2 linked regions of the Callithrix jacchus genome follow. The protein of the gene in region 1 purifies or fractionates together with the protein of each later gene. This does not show direct contact. Links are inferred from orthologs where the notes say so. Each region holds a gene or a part of one and is shown in the gene's direction. Other genes may lie near its edges.

Region 1 (10,684 bases):
CAAGATAAATCTAATCACTCAACCAAAACTTGGGGTGTCACCCTGACTCTGTCCTGTTCCTCGGGTACCAAGGTCCCAGGTCCTGTGATTTCTACCTCCTTAAAGTATCTCATCATTTTTCTATACCCACCATCTGTGCTAAATTAGCACTAATTAACTATCTTCAGAGTGATACAGCCACATGCTGAGCATGATGGACAAGGACCTTCAAACTCTACCTTGGTTCACCTCTCCACTCTCACCCGAGTTCCGGTGTAATGGAAGAGACCCTTCTCTCCACTCTTGCCTCTTGTCATTTCCTTGCCTTGGTTCTGATTACTTACAGATACCTGAATGAGTCATAGTCTTTCTCATATCCAGGATTGTACCCTTGCTGTTTTCCTCTATTTAGATGCCCTCCTTTCCAACCCCCACTGCCCCACAACCCACCACCCTAATTGCCCACCAGTTTATTCTGCTTACTCTTAATCTCTTTTCAAAATTTTTAGATGTCAGTTTCTCTAGGAAACTTCTCTGAAATCCCAGCCTTCCCTCCACCCTCACCCTCTGCCCCACCCTTATCTGAATTAAGCACCCTCCCTGCTTGTTTTCACCATCTTCTGAGATTCCTCTCTCATTACGCTGTCATTCAGAGATGGCATGCTCAAATCAGGAGGATTCAAGGAGGTGTGAGAGAGGTGCAGGGGGACCATAAGGGATGGAGCAGGAACCCAAGTTAGTAATGACAGAGCTGGCACCAACCTTAGGTTTTGAAGACATAAAGGAGCAAGAGTGGCTACCAAAACCCAGAAAGAGAAAACCATGTAAAAGAGGGGACCTGTAAGGAACAGCGACCTATGTTTAGCTGCAGACTAAGGCAATCTTGCAGGGAGGAGAGATGAGGAATGACTATCTTGGCTTCACTCCCTCCTTTTTTTTCATCTTATGCCAGGTGGCCCATTGGCTAAGCCTACCAGCAACCAGAGGACAAGGAATGCGTTAAAATAATCTTATGGCTCAGAGAGTAGATTAGATGTAGAGCGGCGAATGGATTATATTTAGCACAATCGCAGTTCTATTTGTTGATCCGTCTCCCTCATCAGGCTAAGTTACCTGAGGACAGAGAATGTTTCTCTTATATCTGCATCCCTAACATCTGCTGGACACTAGATACTCAAGAAATGCTTACGAATGGGATCAGAGAAGATGGTAAACTGGGCATTAGATGGAGGTTTGTGCTTTCTGAACTTGCTGCATGCTTTCTGGAGAATCCAAGGCAAAATGAGAAACAGAATGAGCTCTGTACTTTTGTCTGACAAAAGAAAATATGATTTGGTGAGAAGAGATGAATATACTTTTAGCACTCAATGCTGGGAGGAACTGGGATGAGTCATGTGACTGCCTCTATCAGAGGCTCTCAACTGTGTAATGAACAGAATCTTTAACAGGGAAACCACAATGCAGAAACATTCTTAAAAATATTAGCTCTTGATAAAACCAAATCCATATTACAAAAAAGCAACCCAAAGGTGGAACTGAGTTAATATGGTCCACTTAGATTGAGCTGAGAACATCTTGCTGGGAAATAATGGTTGTCTTAGACTTCAAATCTTACCTCCTACATAAAGCTTCAGTGCAATCCTCCCTGTATTTTCTCTTCTCTCAACAGCCAAAAGATGGAAAAAATCAACTGAGGAACCTACGTGGAGGAGCATGGATTCATTAGATGGCAGAAACCTGGGTTTCTGAATGACTATCATGGAGCTAATCTCTGCCTACTCCCTGCAAACCTCTGTGCTGAGAACAAGTAACAAATTTTTAATGTGTTAAACCTCTGAAATTTGTTGGGTCTTATAGCAACAGTTATTTTACCCTAATACAGTTGTAAAATAATGTTCTAAAATCTACACTCAGGTTTGTTTAAAATACTATTGCCATGATTATTATGATCCATAGTCCATATCATAATCAATTATTTTTATAGAAATTCTTCTCAACTGGCATCTCATAATTTGTAGCTTCTTATATTGTTGTCTTCTATTTGTGACATGACTCTCTCAGTCCTTTTTGCTCGGGACATGATAGAAAATAAAATCTCTAACATGTTGATGTGTTTTATAATGTACAAAGTCTTGTTTCATGCATTATCTCTTTAGATTCTCCCAACAAACCTGAGGAATATGGAAGAGTCTATAACCATCCTCACTTCACAGGCAATGAAACTGAGACTAAGACATTTACATATAAAGAGTAAATAACCACAAATTTATTTATTAAACAAAAAAACCCACTAATTTATTTAAAGATTAATTGAGGTAATTATTTTGTCTGCCTGGAACCTGGTATGTGTTAAGAATTTTCTTAATTTTTCTAACTTTTAAAGAAGATAATCTATTGCTACATAACAAATCACCCTGAAATAATGACTTAAAACATTAAAAGTCATTGATTTGGCTCACAGAACTTGAACTGGAAGACATAAACAATGGGGAGTGAGGGTGGGGCTGGACAGCTGGCTTCTTTGGGCATCTCCAGTTCTTTCTGTGGTCTTGTCACACCTCTCTACACAGCAACCCTAGGGTAATTGTGACAGCGGGAGGCTTTAGAGTGGGTGGAGGTGAAGTGGGGAGAGAGGGAGGAGGAGTGAGAGAGAGAGAGAAAAGCAAGCAGGCAGGAGCTCTAATGTCTAATGACCTAACCTTGGAAATAAATTACACTGTGCCACTGCCACTACCTTTTCTTAGAAGCCAGCAGATAGGGTCAGTGCTTATTTATTGAGAGGGGAATTAGACTCCGCCTCTTGATTGGGGGAGTGTCAAATAATTTGTGGATATGCTTTTAAATGACCAAATTTCTCCTTTCTAAAATGTTTGTCTAAATTGGTGCACACATGAAGCTCAGGGATCAGTGACACATATAAGATTATTAAGCTGTTAAATGGCTCCACCAGTATTAGATCTAATTTTATGACTCCAAATTTCATGCTCTTTTCCACTACTCCAGATTATCTCCGGTGAACATCATTGTCCCATAGGACAATGTCTTTGTTAAGACATTCTAGCTGCCAAATAGATTCAATCCTTTTAATTGTCTTAAAAAATATATTTTTATTTTGCAGAAAAAATATTACCCATAAGGTAGTCATCCATAAACACCTTCCAAGTTTATCCCAAACATCTGTGTTTTAATTTTTTCTCCCAACAGATGTATTCATTTGCATTTTCCCAGATGAATCACTCTTTCTCTTTGTCATTTTTGACTGTATTTCTCACCTCTCAAGATCCTTTTGTATTAATTATCAAGCCCACTGCTTAGGCAAATATCATCTTCCAATTTGGGGATTTCCCCTCCATTCTTGTGGGCCCTTCCTGTGGGTCATTAATGCAATGTTATTTAAGATCAGGATTTGGCCAGGCATGGTGGTTTATGCCTGTAATCCCAGCACTTTGGGAGGCTGAGGCAGGAGGATCACCTGAGGCCAGGAGTTCGAGACCAGCCTGGCCAATGGTGAAACTCCATCTCTACTAAAAATACAAAATTAGCCGAGCGTGTTGACCTATGCCTGTAATCCCAGCTACTGGGTAGCTTGAGACAGGAGAATCGTTTGAACGTGGGAGGCAGATTTTGCAGTGAACCAAGATCGGGCAACTGCACTCCAGCCTAGGCAACAAGAGTAAAACTCTTTATCAAAAAAACCCAAAAAAACAGAAAACTAGGATTTGACATAAGGCCTGAGGAGCATTCTTTTGTTTTGCCTTGTTTTCAAGAGGCCCAAATCTTCACAGTTGAAAATTTCTGTTGACTTTTTTTTTTTAGAGAGATTTGAACCAACTCAATTTAGAAAGCCTGGGGATTTGAACAATGTTGTGTATCGGAAATCTCTTCATCTATCAGTTTTCATCATTCTAGGCAGTCAAACAGATTTCCCCTTAGGAGCTTTTCTCCGTTTGGGGTTCTCCCAGCAGTGGGATGTGGGGAATCATCCCTTCTTTGTCCCCACCCAAACATTTAGGGGGAGCATAGGGTGGGAAGTAAAGTGAATAGAGGCCTCCAGCGGATATAGGGTCTTTGTGTAGACCAACAGAGTCATCGGAAATCTAATGCAAACCACGGAGGTGCTGTTACATTTTCTAGTAGCTACCTTTAAAAAAGTAAACAGGTGATGCCATGCATGGTGGCTCATGCCTGTAATCCCAGTATTTTAGGAGGCTGAGGTGGGTGGATCATGAGGTCAAGAGATTGAGACCATCCTAGCTAACATGGTGAAACTCCGTGTCTACTAAAAATACAAAAATTAGCTGGGTGTGGTGATGCACACTTGTCCCAGCTACTCGGGAGGCTGAGGCAGGAGAATTGCTTGAACCCGGGAGGTGAAGGTTGCAGTGAGCCGAGAACGTGCCACTGTAGTCCAGCCTGGCGACAGAGTGAGACTGTCTCAAAAGAAAGTAAACACGTGAAATTAATTTTAATAATATATTTTATTTAAACCAATATATCTAAAATATTATTGAACGTGTAACAAATATAACAACATTCATGAGATATTTTTCATTCACATATCCATTCTAAGTCGTGGACTCTAATGTGTATTTTACACTTACAGTACAATTAATTTGGGACTAGCTATATTTCAGCTCATCAATAGCCAACAGAATACTGTATAGCACAAATAAACTCTTCGTCTCTGTTGCTTCTTTGGGTCTCGGAGACCTCAATCTTTTCCTCTCGGATTGCAAACCTTTTCGCCTTCAAACCTCGGTTCCAACACCAATGTGGCAAGGGAATCCAGTCTAAGGAGGTCCGCTCCCTTCCTGCCATTCTCTATTCCATTAACCTGCCTTGTGGTAAACATCGGACTGATCCTCCAGAATTACCTTATTAGTTAGTTTACATATTTATTATCTATCTGTTCCACCAGAATGTAGGTTTCCGGAGGGCAGGAATTTTAAAAACCTGTTTTGTTCTCTGTGATTTTCCCTTGCCAAGAGCCGTGCCCGGCACAAGCTGGGATCCCAGTACACATCTGCGGGGCGAAAGAACAGTGTTTCCCTAGAACTCAGCCGGAGGATAGCTTAGCAATGTGTCACAGGAGGGGTGCCCGCGTTCCGGGCTGCAGCACTGGCTCCCCTGCCGGCGTGGGTGTGGGGCGAGTGGGTGTGTGCGGGGTGTGCGCGGTAGAGCGCGCCAGCGAGCCCGGAGCGCAGAGCTGGGAGGAACAGCTAGCGCCGCGCAGAACCCGCAGCGCCGGCCCGGCAGGGCAGCTCGGAGGTGGGTGGGCCGCGCCGCCAGCCCGCTTGCAGAGTCCTTATTGGCCGCCTGCCCGCCGCCCTCCGCCCTAAAGGCGGCGAGGAGCCTAGAGGCTCCTCTGGAGCGGGAGCTGGAGAGCCGGGCCGAGCCGACGCTGGGGACATTGTTCCCTCCGCTGAGGGGACTCGGCGACCCTCGCGGCGGCTGGCTCTGGAGCCGGCGTCTGGGCGGCTGCGTGGGATCTGCGCCCCCAACTCCCTCCCTAGCTGTGTTCCCGCCGCCGCCCAGCTCGTCTGTGGCGCTGGCGCCTATGGTCGGCCTCAGACAGTGCTCCGGAGGGACCCGGGGAGCTCTCAGGCGCCCGGGTGAGTGGCCAGGCGCGGTTCCCCGGTCCCCCAGACCCCCGGCGCCAGCAATTGCTGTCGCGGCCAGGGCGCGGTGGGGTTTGCCAGGGCAGCGCCTCGAGCAACTGGGAAGGCCAAGGCGGAGGGAAACTTGGCCTCGGGGAGAAATGCGATCGTAGCCGGGAGGCTCCCCCAGCCCCGCGGGCCGGATGGGAACAGGTGGCGCCGGCCGGAACAGGCGCTTTGTGTCGGGCCGCGGGGATCTGGAGCGGACCGCCGCGCCTCGGTGGGCCGCTCCCTTCCCTCCCTTGCTCCCCCGGGCGGCAGCACGCCGGGTCGGCCGGGTAACGGAGAGGGAGTCGCCAGGAATGTGGCTCTGGGGACTGCCTTGCTCGGGGAAGGGGAGAAGGTGGCCACGGTGGCAGGAGAGGCGCGGGAGCCGAGAGGTGGCGCGGGGGTGCCACCAATGCCTCAGGCTGAGAGGGATGCTTCCAGCGAGGCGCGTTGGGTCTGGGCGAGGGCTTCATTCTTCCGCGGCGTCCCTGGAGGTGGGTAAGCTGGGTGGGCGTGTGTGCAGAGAAAGGGGAGGCGGGGAGGCCGGGAGGCCAGTCACTTCCGGAGCCGATTCTGATCCGAACACACCACCCAGCGTTTGGGGTTGCGGACCTCAGGGTGCAGTGGTGCCCGGCCCCATGCGCGGGCGAGGCTGAGTGGTCGGGGGCGTCCCTGGCCGCCCAGCTTTAACAAAGGGTGCTCCCCTCCACCCCACGAGGAGAGGCAACTCCTGAGACCTGGTCTCCAGCGAGCGGGTCTTAGCGCTGGGGAGGTCTACTTCCTTTTGGGGTTGCCATTTTACTATTATTATTGCCAATTTTTTTTGTTTGTTTGTTTTCAAAAGGACTGGAAGCTGATGCATGAGGGGGCCACGGAGGCACAGGAGCGGTGGTGATGGTCTGGGAAGCGGAGCTGAAGTGCGCTGGGCTTTGGTGAGGTGTGACAGTTTATCATGACCGTGTTCAGGCAGGAAAACGTGGATGATTACTACGACACCGGCGAGGAACTTGGCAGGTAAAGGGGGTGCCAGAAGCGCACGCTCCTGGGTTGTGGAAATGCATAACGATGGGGCCACTGGGTGGTAAACAAACGCAGTTTGAATCAGGCGTCTCCTTCGCCCTTTCTGGAGATGCACACATCGTAAAGAGTTACTAACCCAGAGATAAACCTCCTGATCCAGAGGCCTGGGGGTGGAGGAGAGGCAGCCGTTCAGGGCTAGATTATGATGCACAGTGTATTGATCAAGTCCCCTGTACAAGAACAGATTTAATTGTCTGCATTAACTCTTGTCAGCCCTTGGCCTTCCGTGACAACAGGACGAACACTAAGATTATAATTGCAACTGGAGTTCGCTTTTATGTGTAATTTAAACAGAGAGTACAAACTAATTAATAGGCTTTTAAAAATCTTAGTACTTTTCCCTCTATCTGAATTTTCAGTGTAATGTGAGCAAGTATTGGTAGGTGGTAAATGGAAACTTGCCAGATGTTGATGTTGGGCTTGGATTTTGAAACCTCTTCCAACCAGGAATTTAATTACCCGGTTGGTGTTGGTGGCTTTGGTTTCATTTACAATGTTAAATTTTTAACAAATCAATGAGATTCTAATATGGCTATCTGAATTCAGAGCATACCTCCTTTGCTGTAGCAGCTGTGATTCTCAGGGTAAAATCTTTCAGTTTCTAGGTAAACAAAGAAGGGTTTCTTTGGGGGCATCTAAGGGGCTGATTGCTGTTTCGTTTGACTGTGTATTAGACAGAGTGTTTTGGGCCGGTCAGCTTTAGTAGAAAACCTAGTTTTCATACCTACATTTAAAACTGAATTTACGGAATTTGACTGTGGTGTATTTGCATTTTGAGTGGAGCAGGCAAAGGATCTTTAAACAAACAAAATATGTGTTTACTTATATGTGCACTGAAATACTTATTTTCCCATATACATCTGATGTCCTGATACAAAGCCTCCTTTTTCTCCATGAAAAGGAAATTCAAAAACACCCACATTCTAGATTACCTAAAGCGAATTATGAAAACTAAGCTTAACTGAAAAATTTTTAAATTCAAACGATAGTGTAGAGTTTTTATAAAGGTTACTGTAACAGAATATTTCTCTAAATGTTTAGTATTGACTGAAAACATCAGTGGGGCCTGTACTTAGGAGGAGCTCTCTGTTTATTGATGATCTGGTGAGTAAATAAGGAAAGCCCCTGAAAAATCACATTTCATGGATGTGTTTAAGATTGGTTTAAGTGGAATTAAGTAACTTTCTTGTGGTTTTCAGCAAGATGAGTGGGATATGGAGTTTTCCTTTGGGACTGGGGAAAAAAAAGCAAAAAAGTTTTTTTTAAATTTTACTTGCATAGTGTGGTCTGATTATTTAAATGTTGTTAGAAAGGGAGATGAGTAAAATTAGTTGAGATTTTTTTGTATTATGGATTACGTGTACTGACCTTTTCATTATGATTATTTGGTACAGTGATGTGTTATGAGAAAGAAATAGAAAAAGAGGCCTCCCTGTGGTTGGTGAAGGGAGTTTGTGCTCTTCATTTCAGGGGCGTGATGAGGAGCCAGGTGGTTTGCTTATTTGTCACCAGCACTTTGATTGACTCCATGTACATTTCTGTGTATAACTTTCTTCCCAGTGTGGAAGGCAAATCGACAAATTGTTTATTAAATAATTTATGTGACCTAGGAATTTTAACAAAATGCTCTGAAAAACTGGAAGTCTTAAGAATGAAACGTACATACCCATCTGTCCTGTATAATTGCTATTGTTTTTGCCAAAAACTGAGTGAATGGTTGTTTTTTGGAAAATTTTTCAAATCCTGTGATTTATGTCTGCCTTGGATGTAGTCACTTCCTGAAAACAAGTCCTGATGTAAGATGGACATGTAGGAAGATCCTGCTTATGTGACATCATGTGTCACTGAGGGAGGATTGGGAGTGAAGGCAGGAGTTTGGTGGCAGAAAAATGGAAATGGGCAGATACGTGGAACAAATGCAAGGTCATTCTAAGCAGTGACTTACTAGCAGACCAGTATCTAAGATTTAAGACTTTTCTTGGCCAGACAGGGTGGCTCATGCCTGTAATCCCAGCACTTTGGGAGGCCAAGGCGGGCAGATCACAAGGTCAGGAGTTTAAGACCAGCCTGGCCAACATAGTGAAACCTCGTATCTACTAAAAATACACACACAAAAATTAGCTGGTCATGGTGGCAGGTGCCTGTAGTCCCAGCTCCTTGGGAGGCTGAGGCATGAGAATGACTTGAACCATTCTCGGAGGCAGAGGTTGCAGTGAGCTGAGATCGTGCCACTGCACTCCAGCCTGGGTGACACAGCAGGACTCTGACTGAAAATAAATAAATAAATAAAGACTTTACTTACGTATCTTTAGCAGTCATCTAAATAATAACGATTCACTTACCTTATAAATGTAATGAGGCAAAGTCCATAGCGAGGAGGAAAGATGGGTTTTTTAAAAAGTAGAATACAGTATTATTATGAATATTATTTTACTATTGGGAAAACTGAAAATGTGTGTATTTGTGTGTACTGCCTAAGACTTCTATAAAAGCTCTCTGTCAACTGTCAGGAACTTTATAAACTATTACAACTATTACAGCAGTGATAGAGCAGGTGGACCACTGGACAGACGACCCTGTCCAAAACCTGGCTCTGCAACTTGCTAGTTTTCTTGAACAGGCCATTTACCCACTCTGACCCTCAGGATTATCCTCCATAAAATGAGAGGTCTAGTGCTTATTTCATGGCTGTTGTAAAAATTAAGTAATCTAACTTGTAAAGGTAGTTTATTGGCAGTGGATAGTTAAACAACTATAGACATTATCTGTAGACTGGCTGAGACATGTGGGTGCCCCAGGCAAGCTAATAACTTGACCTGCAACTCAATATTCTTAAGTATCTGTTTACCAACTTTGGGAGGGGAGGGCTTATGGGAAAAGGGTTATAGGGAGATGGGTTGCTGACAGCATTCAGTCTTCACTATGATTCTGAATAATGCTGCCCTGGCCTTGAGCTGGCACAGCCTCCAAACAGAAGCTAGTCCCTGCAGCAGACGGACTTGTCATCTTTAGAAGAGTATTTGGTGGCCTTCCATTTGGGCTCCTGGAGGGCCTTTAGGGTCTCACCTTCTATGCCAGGAGGGGGAACAAAGAACTGCCTCCATCGTGTTGAACAGTCTCTGAGAGGAGTTCTTATAAATGTGGTTTTCTCCACCTGCTATTACACCAGGTTGTTTTAATGCCCCAGGATGCCCTAGCATCTCTTATCAGCTGGCATCTTGGGCAGCTACAGCCTGGCTTGCCCCATTGTTGGGCTCTAGTTACACCCTTGGCTGTCGTTCAGCCTAACCTGTGAGCCTCCTGGGTACCTCTCTGTGTACACTGCTTTCCTGAGGGACTGGTCTTCTTTCTTAGTGTACCATCTGACCTTTTATGATCTTAAGACCTAAATCCCACTTCTTTAATGAATGAATCCTTCCACAATGAGTTTTCCCTTTTTAAAGTCAAGTGAGTTTTCTGAGACTTTCTTTGTCCATGACCATAGACTGCCCAGTGACATGTTCCATCCTGTTTTATATTTATTAGTCTTGTATTAGTCTTTGCAGCCAGCTTGTGAGTTTCTTTGGGATGTGCTCTGTGGTTTGGAGTTGTCGCAGCCCTTTCTCCCCATGGTGTACAGTGTGCCCTAGACTTCCAGTAAATTGGTATCTGTGGTCAGTATGAGATTAATGCATGTCTAAATGAGCTAATGCAGTTTGGCAGGTGCAATTTTGAGACCAGAATGGGGATGTAAGCTGCAAACGATGATGCAGATGCTGATGCTGTTAGAGAGGCAGCGTGCAGTGTGGAAGACCCTCAGGAAGCTCATTTGGAAAGGGGGGAGTTACCTACCCTGGTAGGGTAGGGTGTTGTGAGAATTACAGACGTGGCTTTAAACATCTGACATGCAGTCACTGTCTAATAATCTGTCTATCTTTTTAGTCTATAGATAGATATATTATGCATTTACTGAACGCCTACTGTCATGCGTCTAATATATA
Region 2 (10,403 bases), on another chromosome or scaffold:
TTGTCAGTGACTGGGCTTCACTGCCACCTCTGCGTGCCGGGCACCCTGGCATTTACGGGATTAATGCCAAGCCACCTCTGAGGCCGGACAACCCCCTACCTCCCCCAGTTGAGCTGCTCAAGCCCCGAGAAGTTGAGGCACTGCCAAGGTGACAGGAGAGATATTGGGACCCCAGACCTCATCCAGCCCCTCAAGTGCTTCCGATCTGCCTCCCCCGCCCCCAACTCCAAATATGAACCCTGTGGCGACCACCAGCTACGTCCTTGGGAAAGTCATTTCCCCTCCCTAATCTACAGCTTCCTCATTCATTCCCAAGTGACCTCAAAAGCCACAACCTGGCCGGGCCCAGTGGCTCACGCCTATAATCCCAGCACTTTGGGAGGCTGAGGAGGGTGGATCATGAGGTCAACAGATCAAGACCCTCCTGGTCAACAAGGTGAAACCCCGTCTCTACTAAAAATACAAAAATTAGCTGGGCATGGTGGTGCACGCCTGTAGACCCAGCTACTCGGGAGGCTGAGGCAGGAGAATTGCTTGAACCCAGAAGGCGTAGGTTTCGGTGAGCTGAGATCACACCATTGCACTCCAGTCTGAGTAACAACAGCAAAACTCCGTCTCAAAAAAAAGTCACAACCTTCCCATGCCACATGGACAGGTCTCCCATGTCTTGAGATCCTCAAATCATCAGCACCTCCATCCAGCATTTGAGGTTCTCGTCTGACCTCTCCTGCCCCCATGTTCAGCCCACCAGGTCCCAGGGGATGCTGAGCAGAGGCCCCATGAAGGGGGTTTTTGTTTCTTTTTAAAGAGTCATGGTCTTGCTCTGTCACCCAGGCTGGAGCGCAGTGGCATGATCACAGCTCATGGCTCACAGCCTCAAACTGCTGGTTTCCAGGCTCAAGCAATCCTCCCATCTCAGACTCCTGAGTCACTGGATTATGGGTGCGAGTCACCATGTCCAGCTAATTGTTTTAAAATGTTTTTAGAAACATGATCTTGCCAAGTGCAGTGGCTCACACCTGTCAGTCCAGCACTTTGGGAAAAGCCAAGGCAGGCAGATCAGTTGAGGTTGGGAGTTTGAGACCGGCCTGGCCAACAGGGCAAAACCTGGTTTCTACTAAAAAGACCAAAAAAAAAAAAAATTAGCTAGGCTCGGTGGCCCATGTCTGTAATCCCAGCTACTTGGGAGGCTGAGACAGAATTGCTTGAACCTGGGAGGTCGACACTGCAGTGAGCCAAGATTGTGCCACTGCACCCCAGCCTGGGTGACAGAGTGAGACTGTCTCAAGAAAAAAACAAAGGTCTTTCCCTTTTCCATGTGGGTCTGGAACTCCTGGTCTCCAGCAATCCTCCTGCCTCAGCCTCCCGGAATTGTGTGAGCCCCTACGAGTAGCCTCATAGTGTCTTTAACCCGGACTCCTGTTAACCACCCTCCTCATCACACCCAGAATGCCATATCCTTGTCCCTTCAGCCCTCCTCACCCCTGGGGCCTCCCTGTCCTTGTCTGTTCCTGTCCAGCCACCTCTCAGGGCCCAAGAAGGCTGAGCCTGGGGCAAGTGCATGAACAAACCTCCCTTCTGACCCAGTCTACTGCTGGGACCTTGGGATAGGAGCTGCTTCCCTTACCTCAGGGCCCCCTAGCCTTGCCAGGCACTGTCCCTGCCATGTGTCCTGTCTGGAGATGCCCCATAAATTACTCCAGCCCAGATAGTGCCTCTCACTGTGTACGTGATCGCAGGAGAAAGATCGCCATCTTCATGGCCCCAGCTATGCTGAGCTGGCCGTGTGGCCTTTAAAAACATTCAGCCACTGGCTGTGTGTCCTTGGCAAAATAGCCTTCCCTCTCTGATCAGCCGTGTCTTTGTTACCAACTGGAGTCCATAGCCCCCACCCTCAGCCCCAACTGGCTGCTTCTGAGGGTTCAGTGATAAAATAGGTTGTGGGGACAGGTGCGGTGGCTCATGACTATAATCGCAGCACTTTGGGAGGCCGAGGCAGGTGGATCACGAGGTCAGGAGTTTGAGACCAGCTTGGCCAGCATGGTGAAACCCCGTAAAAATACAAAAAAATTAACCGAGCATGGTGGCAGCCTACTCGGGAGACTGAGGTAAAAGAATTGCTTGAACCTAGGAGGCAGAGGTTGCAGTGAGCCAAGATCATGCCCCTGCACTCCAGCCTGGGTGGCAGAGCAAGACTCTGTCTCAAAATAAATAAAATAAAATGGGTTGTGGGCACACTCTGTGCCTGGCAGAGAGCAATATATTGTGAGGTTACATTTATGATTTCTTCCAAAAGGGCTGGTGCCCAGTAACTACTGGAAAAATTGGAGCAATTATATTTATTGTTATTTCTTCAATCCCACCTGGCACATGGTAAGCATGAAAGTTGAGGCAGTGAGTCTTGGGGAGCCTTTGAGAAGGAAAAGGGCTTTGCCAAGGGTTTGGTCATCTGAGGGATGGGCGGGGGCACCATCCAGCCACTGGGACTTCAGGGAAACTCTGGCTCCCAAATCAGCTGCTGTGTGTGGGTCTTTCCCACAACTAGAGGGAGGCACAGCTGGGGACTCACCTGTATCTCCCCGCCAGGTTTGGGACATTTTCTTCTGTAGGATCTGGTGCGTCTTGCCATGAATGACGCCCTGCGGGGCCTGAATGTCTTAATTATTCCCCCAACACTCCTGCCTCCATCTGGGCCTTTTTTCTGGGGTACTGTCTCTGCCTTCGCTGCTGGGCACTGTTCTATGGAGGCACCAATGCCTGATCATGCTACCAGGAAGCCCCAGCCTGGGACAACTCTCCCCCACCTGCCTGTGAGCCCTCCATGGTGATTCTGTCCCCCAAACCTTATCCTTCTCCCCATTACACAGAAGGGAAAGCTGAGGCTCCATCATTCAAATCCAAAGCCATGCGGACTCCTACTCCAAACAGCACAGGCTGCCGCTCTCCTGCATGGGCGCCCCTTGAAGGCCAGGTTGCCCCCCACCGCCCACAAGCCTTGGACCGTGAAAAGAAGGAAGGCCAGTTCTCTTCACCCCAAGCCAGAAGTAGGGCTTGCGGGGGTGGGGGCGCTAGAGAAGTGATGTGCCACTTCTTGTGTCGGCTTCTGCTTTTCTGGCACAGCTGTGGCCAAGCTTGAGTCAGTCCCACGAGACTGTAGTGGGGGAGTCTGGAGCATTGGGTTTGGGAATTTCGAGGGGGAAGGGGCCAGGGGGGTGGGGGTGGGCGTGAGGGAGGTCAGGGGCCAGGCTGGAGGGAGGGGACCTGGCCACACAGGCCTTGCCCACACTCAGACAGGGGAGTGAGCATTCAGCTACTCCGCCAACAGCCCAGCCTCCATCCCATCCCCGGCCTCCATCAGACGCCACCCCTGTTAGAGCACAGGCTCCTCTGAGAGTGGGCCCTGGGCCTCAAGTCCCCTAGCCGCCCCCAGAAGGTCTAGGGGTGTGAGGAGCAGAGACACCCTCATTTCTCTCGGCCTGTGTCTGTCTGGAAGGCTTCACCTCAGGTCCCCTAAATGTACTCTTCCTCAGGGCTCACATGACTGGGCCGGGCTGACTGCCAAGGGGCCCAATGGCCTCGTGACTGGGGACCCAGCACCTGGCAGGGGTGGGGGTGAGATACCTAGAGGGAGGCGTGGAGGAGGGAGAGACGCTGGCCAGGGACCCGAGGGGAGGGGCACCGGGAGGTGGGGTCGGGCTAGGGGCGGGGCCGCCGCCTGCTTAAAGGCGCTCATTACCCAGGCAGCTGCTCCCGCTGCCACACCTTCGCCCTCGCCGTGATGGCCCTGCCGCCGCTCCTGCTGTTCCTGCCGCCGCTGCTGCTGCTGCTGGACGTCCCCACGGCGGCGGTGCAGGCGTCCCCTCTGCAAGCGTTAGACGTCTTTGGGAATGGACCACCAGTCAACCAAAAGGTAGGGACGGCGACAGGGCGGGCCGGCTGGAGGGGACAGGCGGCTCCTCCTTTCTCCCCAGACTTCAAGGGCCAAGACCAGGGCCCCGAGGGGAGGCTGTCCCTGCCGGGGGAAAAACCGCGTTCAGTCCCCCGGCACTGCGGCCACTCTCTCCGTGCCGTTTCGCTTTCTCATCCCGCAGCTGAGACGCGCAGCTGCCCCCACCCGCCTTGTCCCGCTCAGGATTTCATTGAGCGCCTACTGTGTACTTTTGGGGCAGGAGCTGGGGTGTCTTTTGGGGGCCCAGGGCACAGCCAGATGAGTTCAGCGACTGGTCGAGGCCCCCGGCGTGCGTTCTTGCTGCTACCCCTGGTGCGCGCATTCCAGCCGGGGCAGGGCTCGTGTGTCGCCGGGGCCTATTAGGCAGATTCCCTGGAGGCTGAGGGACTTGCTCACGGCTCCCGCGACCTGGGCCGCCCGCCACCCCTCCGCCGAAGCCGGAAGTTAGCACAGATTAGGTGCCGTCTCTATTCGGTGGGACTTGGAAAGGGTTCACATGGGTCCCTGGCTCTGCTCAAGGCCAAGGTCTTCGGCCGGGCGCGGTGGCTCATGTGTAATCCCAGCACTTTGGGACGCCGAGGCGGGTGGATCACGAGGTCAAGAGATCGAGACCATCCTGGTCAACAAGGTGAAATCCCGTCTCTACTAAAAATACAAAAAATTAGCTGGGCATGGTGGCGCATGCCTGTAATCCCAGCTACTCAGGAGGCTGAGGCAGGAGAATTGCTTGAACCCAGGAGGCAGAGGTTGCGGTGAGCCGAGATCGCGCCATTGCACTCCAGCCTGGGTAAGAAGAGCAAAATTCCGTCTCAAAAAAAAAAAGGCCAAGGTTTTTGGGTAAAGTGGCAAGAAAGGAGCATGGCCTCGGTGCGGTGGCTCATGTGTAATCCCAGCACTTTGGGAGGGTGAAGTGGGTGGATCGCCTGAGGTCAAGAGTTTGAGGCCAGCCTGGCCAACATGGTGAAACCCCATCTCTACTAAAAATACAAAAATTAGCCGAGTGTGGTGGTGGGCATCTGTAATCCCAGCTACTTGGGAGACTGAGGCAGGAAAGTTGCTTGAACTCAAGAGGTGGAAATTACAGTGAGCTGAGATCACACCACTGCACTCCAGCTTGGGCGACAGAGCAAGACTCCCTCTCAAAAAAAAAAAAAAAAGGCTCGCCAGGCTTAGTGGCTCACACCTGTAATCCCAGCACTTGGGGAGGCCAAGGCGAGTGGATCACCTGAGGTCAAGAGTTTGAGGCCAGCCTGGCCAACATGGTGAAACCCCATCTCTACTAAAAATACAAAAAAATTAGCCCGGTGGGGTGGCACGTGGCCTATAGTCCCAGCTACTCGGGAGGCTGAGGCAGGAGAATCGCTTGAACCCGGGAGGTGGAGGTTGCAGTGAGCCGAGATCATGCCACTGCACTCCAGCCTGGGCAACAGAGCGAGACTCTGTCTCAAAAAAAAAAAAAAAATACCAAGTGGGGTTTAGAGAAGTGGAAAATTGCCCAGGGCTACACCTGCCTCACCCCTTCCTAATCCACAGATGGGCAGTCTATACCTGCGGAAGCAGCTCAAGGAGTCTATACCTGCGGAAGCCGCACAGCTCGTCAATGTGACCCTCTACTATGAAGCCCTGTGTAAAGGCTGCCGCACTTTCCTGATCCGGGAGCTCTTCCCAACGTGGCTTATGGTCATGGAGATCCTCAATGTCACACTGGTGCCCTACGGAAATGCGCAGGTGCGCGGACACTGGGGAAACTGAGGCACATGGGCAGGGGAGCAGGGGACCCGGCCTGCCAACCAGCTCTCACCCTGCTGCCTTGCAGGAACAAAATGTCAGCGGTCGGTGGGAGTTCAGGTGCCAGCATGGGGAGGAGGAGTGCAAATTCAACAAGGTGGAGGTAAGCGGTGACAGGGGCCCCTCGCCAGGGTGGGAGAACTGCCCAATGTACAGGAGGCAAACGCAAGGGTGCCAGCTCTGTCTTCTGCCTCGCGGGTTCCCATGTAATCACATCTTTATTCCCTATCTCCTGGGTGGGCACTGGTGATTATTATGATTGGGTGTCAGCATACCCTGGGCCCACCTCATGCCCTCTCCTGCCCCCTCTTGAACACCAGGCCTGCCTGCTGGATGAACTTGAGATGGATTTAGCCTTCCTGACTATCGTCTGCATGGAAGAGTTTGACAACATGGAGGAAAGTCTGCCACTAGTGAGTGATGCCCCTCACTCCGAGGAGAGGGACAGGTGGTAGCTTCCCTGCACCCAGTCAGACCCAGACTCAAGTCCTAGCCCTGACCATTGCTCTCTGTGCAGCCAGGAGAACAACCTTCCTTTCTTTTTTTATTTTTTTTGAGACAGGATTTTGCTCTGCAGCCTGGAGTGCAGTGGCGCAATCTCGGCTCACTGCAACCTCTGTCTCCTGGGTTTAAGTGATCCTCTTGCCTCAGCCTCCCTAGTAGGTGGGAAGAGGAGTGCAAACCGCCACCATGCCTGGGCAATTTTTGTGTTTTTAGTAGAGGCAGGGTTCACCATGCTGGCCAGGCTGGTCTCAAACTCCTGACCTCAAGTGATCCACCTGCCCTGGCCTCCCAAAGGGCTGGGATCATAGGTGTGAGCTACCGCGCCTGGTCCCAGCCTCCCCTCTTGAAGCCTCTGTCTTTGAATCAGAGGAGCATGAGTGATCATGGAGGACTTACTGGAGGAGGCATCTCTGCGCTGGGCATGGAAGGATGAGCAGGAATGTACAGATGATGGGATGTGGAGATGATAGGACAGGCTCCACCTACTTCCCCAGGGGATTGTGAAGAATGACTCCCAGAGGAGTGGCTCATCAGCTCTAATCAGTGTTCATTCACCAAACATCCCAGCCACCCAAGAGGCCCCACCCAGCCACACCCTAGTACTGCAGGGTTAGATTGGGGCTGGAAGAGTGGCAAGGAGGAGAGGGCGACACTGGGGAAGAAGGAGGAAAGGTGTTTCTGGCAGAGGGATCAGCATGTGCGGAGGCCCTGAGGAAACTGAGATGCCGTTGGGGGTCAGAGGCAGTGGATCTGGTCTTAGGAATGAAACAAGCGGGCTAGGAGCAGCCCCAGCCCTGCTCCCAGGCCTCCACTAAAGCATGTATTGAGCGCTTGATGTTTGTGGTATTGTGTGGCTGTGACCCTCTTCTCAGTGATGAAACAGGCTTGGCTTAGGGCTGGTGGGGGACCGTTGAGGAGATAACGGGGAGGAAGCTGAGGCAAGCCCCTACTCCTCCACCCCGCCCAGTGCCTGCAGCTCTATGCCCCAGACCTATCGCCAGACACTGTCATGAAGTGTGCAATGGGGGACCGCGGCATGCAGCTCATGCACGCCAACGCCCAGCGGACAGACGCTCTCCAGCCACCCCATGAGTATGTGCCCTGGGTCACCGTCAATGGGGTAAGGATCTTCTTAGCCCTCAGCTTGACACCCCTAGTCCCATGGAATCAGAGGTGGACCCAGAGGGACCAGGGATAAAGGAGCCCAGAGTGGGAGTGATGGCTTTGCATAGGAAAAAGGGGCACTGGGGCTGGGGTTTTGAAGGGTGAGTAGGAAGCAAAAAAAATGTGTGTACTAAACATCAGGCAAAAAAATGTGTGTATTAAACAACAAAAGGCAAGAAACAAAAAAGAAAGTGTGTATTAATTCAATGTATTAAACATTCCTAGCCACCCTCGTTGGGACAGATGTGCCCAACTGATTTGGGAGGTGGGAGGTGGGGGCCAGACTTGGGACCACATGTAGCCCTTTCTGGGCTGGAACCAGGGTACATAGGTTGAGGCAGCTGCTGGGACTAAGCGACCCCCTGTCTTGCTTTATGCAGAAACCCTTGCAAGATATGAGCCAGCTCCTGGCCCTTGTCTGCCAGTTGTACCAGGTAAGCTGGGCAGGGAGCAGTGGGGCTCAGGTGGTGGGGGTGGGGTCTCCTTCCAGGACTCCAACTAGTGGCCTTCCCCTCCAGGGCAAGAAGCCAGATACCTGCCCTCCCTCAACCAGCTCCCTCAGGAGCGTCTGCTTCAAGTGATGGCCGGTGCCCTGCAGAGAGCCGAGGGAAGGCAAGTGGGAACCCAGCTCCCTGCCGTTTTTTCCAATCCGGACCCTTGGCATCTGCTGGTCACAAATGGGAACATTTCTATGTATGAAGCCCAGACACAAAATTCCACCCCATGATCAAGAATCTTGCTCCACTAAGAACGGTGCTAAAGTAAAACTAGTTTAATAAACCCTTCTGGATGCTGTAATTGATTTGATAAGTCAGCCATTCTCCCTTCCCCAGGCCTGTGCAGTGCTGGAGCCTTGACACACCTTAGCCCAGGGAGCCTCTGTCCAGGGGATGCAGACCCAGAGAAACATGCTGAGTCTCTTGGGGTCAGGGATGGACCAAAAGGGATGGGCTGGGGCTAGAGGATCCCAGAGGGAGAGAAGTCTTTGCATAGGGGAGAAGGGCATCAGGGCTGGGGTTTTGAAGGGTAAATAGGAGTTCGTCAGGCAGAAAATGAGTTCATTAATTGCACAGACATCCCTAGCCACCCTCATTGTGCTGAACCCATACTGGGTAATATGGATTGAGACCGACTATGGGAACTGGGGCCGGACAAGGACAGAGGATGGGGCAGGAACACTGTCTGGGGAGTTGCCAAGAATTTGTTCCCTAGTGGGGACGTCAGGGTGTTCCAGGAAAGGGAAACAAAAGAATGTACAAGACTCTAGCCGCAGCAAAATCTGGAGCTAGAATGCCAGTCATAAACACCCCAAAACAGGAAGGTATATTATACAATATATCTTTTCTTTTTTTGAGATGGATTCTGGCTCTGTCACCCAGGCTGGAGTGCAGTGGCTCAATCTCCGCTACCTGCAACCTCTGCCTCCCGGGTTCAAGGAATTCTCCTGCCTCAGCCTCCCAACTAGCTGGGATTACAGGCGCGTACCACTACACCTGGCTAATTTTTATATTTTTAGTAGAGACAGGATTTGACCATGTTGGCCAGGCTGGTCTCAAATTTCTGACCTCAAGTGATCTACCTGTCTCGGCCTCCCAAAGTGCTGGGATTTCAGGCATGAGCCATCGTGCCAGGCCTTATAGGCTAGTTTTCAAGGGAAGGAAATACTATGATTCTCATACTAATGTAAAATGAACACATGTTAAAAGATTTTTTTTTTTAGTTTAGTTTTTTGTTGTTGTTGAAATGGAGTCTTACTGTGTCACCCAGGTTGGAGTGCAGTGACACAATCTCAGCTCACTGCAACCTCAGCCTCCCAGATTCAAGCAATTCTCCTGCCTCAGCTTCCTAAGTAGCTGGAATTGCAGGCACCCACCACCACGCCTGACTAATTTTTGTATTTTTAATAGAGACAGGGTTTCAGGCTGGTCTTGATCTCTTAACCTCGTGATCTGCCCGCCTTGGCCTCCCAAAGTGCTGGGATTACAGGCGTGAGCCACCGCACCCAGTTAAAAGATTTTATGTCCAGGCATGATGACTACACGGATAATCCCAGTACTTTGGGAAGCCAAGGTGTGAAGATTGCTTGAGGCCAAGAATTCAAAATCAGCATGATTACAAAAAATTTAAAAATTAGCCAGGTGTGGTGGGGTGTGCCTGTCCTCCCAGCTACTCAGGAGGTTGAGGTGGGAGGATCGCTTGGCCCCAGGAGGTCAAGGCTGCAGTGAGCTATGATCGCACCACTGCACTCCAGCCTGGGAGACAGAGCAAGACCCTGTCTCAAAACTAAACAAACACAAAAAGACTTGATTTAATTCTTCTTTTTTTGAGATAGAGTCTCGCTCTGTGGCCCAGGCAGGAGTGCAGTGGTGCAATCCCGGTTCGCTGCGACCTCCTCTGCCTGGGTTCAAGCGATTCTCCTGCCTCAGCTTCCTGAGTAGCTGGGATTACAGGTGTGAGCCACCACAGCCAGCTAATTGTTGTATTTTTAGTAGCAACTGGGTTTCTCTATGTTGGCCAGGCTGATCTCCAACTCCTGACCTCAAATGATCTGGCCGCCTTGGCCTCCCAGAGTGCTAGGATTATAGGCATGAGCCGCCTCACGTGGCCCCTAAAAATATCCTGAGGATTTGGATTGGCCAGAATCAGCCTGTACGAACCTGAAAGTCAGATGTAACTCATTGGTTTTTTGGGTTTTTTGAGACAGAGTCTTGTTCTGTTGCCAAGCGCCAGCCAGGCTGGAGTGCAGTGGCGCAATCTCAGCATCTCACCTCCTGGGTTCAAGCAATTCTCCTGCCTCAGCCTCCCGAGTAGCTGGGATTACAGGCACGTGCCACCGCGCCAGCTAATTTTTGTATTTTTAGTAGAGACGGGGTTTCACTATGTTGTCTTGACCTCATGATCCGCCCACCTCTGCCTCCCAAAGTGCTGGGATTACAGGCGTGAGCCACCGCGCTCGGCCACGACTCTTAATGCCTCTTAAATGAAAAAGAAGGGAAAA

The links. Proteins that work in one complex are often made in the same cells at the same time.
Region 2: the proteins of DAPK1 (region 1) and IFI30 purify together in Homo sapiens (affinity purification with mass spectrometry; 3 studies listed by BioGRID and IntAct, counting the BioPlex papers as one, with this or other methods). This does not show direct contact. The link is inferred for Callithrix jacchus from reciprocal best matches to the Homo sapiens genes DAPK1 and IFI30.

Annotation. Positions count from the first base shown.
Region 1 is NC_133502.1:75,958,170-75,968,853, reverse strand, and holds the start of DAPK1 (death-associated protein kinase 1), read left to right. Parts: upstream 1-5,179; 5' UTR 5,180-5,247; exon of another isoform or gene 5,248-5,591; intron 5,592-6,468; 5' UTR 6,469-6,576; coding exon 6,577-6,638; intron 6,639-10,684. UniProt on the Homo sapiens protein: Calcium/calmodulin-dependent serine/threonine kinase involved in multiple cellular signaling pathways that trigger cell survival, apoptosis, and autophagy.
Region 2 is NC_133523.1:16,888,940-16,899,342, forward strand, and holds IFI30 (gamma-interferon-inducible lysosomal thiol reductase), read left to right. Parts: upstream 1-3,748; 5' UTR 3,749-3,778; coding exon 3,779-3,910; intron 3,911-5,482; coding exon 5,483-5,677; intron 5,678-5,765; coding exon 5,766-5,840; intron 5,841-6,057; coding exon 6,058-6,150; intron 6,151-7,208; coding exon 7,209-7,361; intron 7,362-7,785; coding exon 7,786-7,839; intron 7,840-7,923; coding exon 7,924-7,986; 3' UTR 7,987-8,185; downstream 8,186-10,403. UniProt on the Homo sapiens protein: Lysosomal thiol reductase that can reduce protein disulfide bonds. May facilitate the complete unfolding of proteins destined for lysosomal degradation. Plays an important role in antigen processing.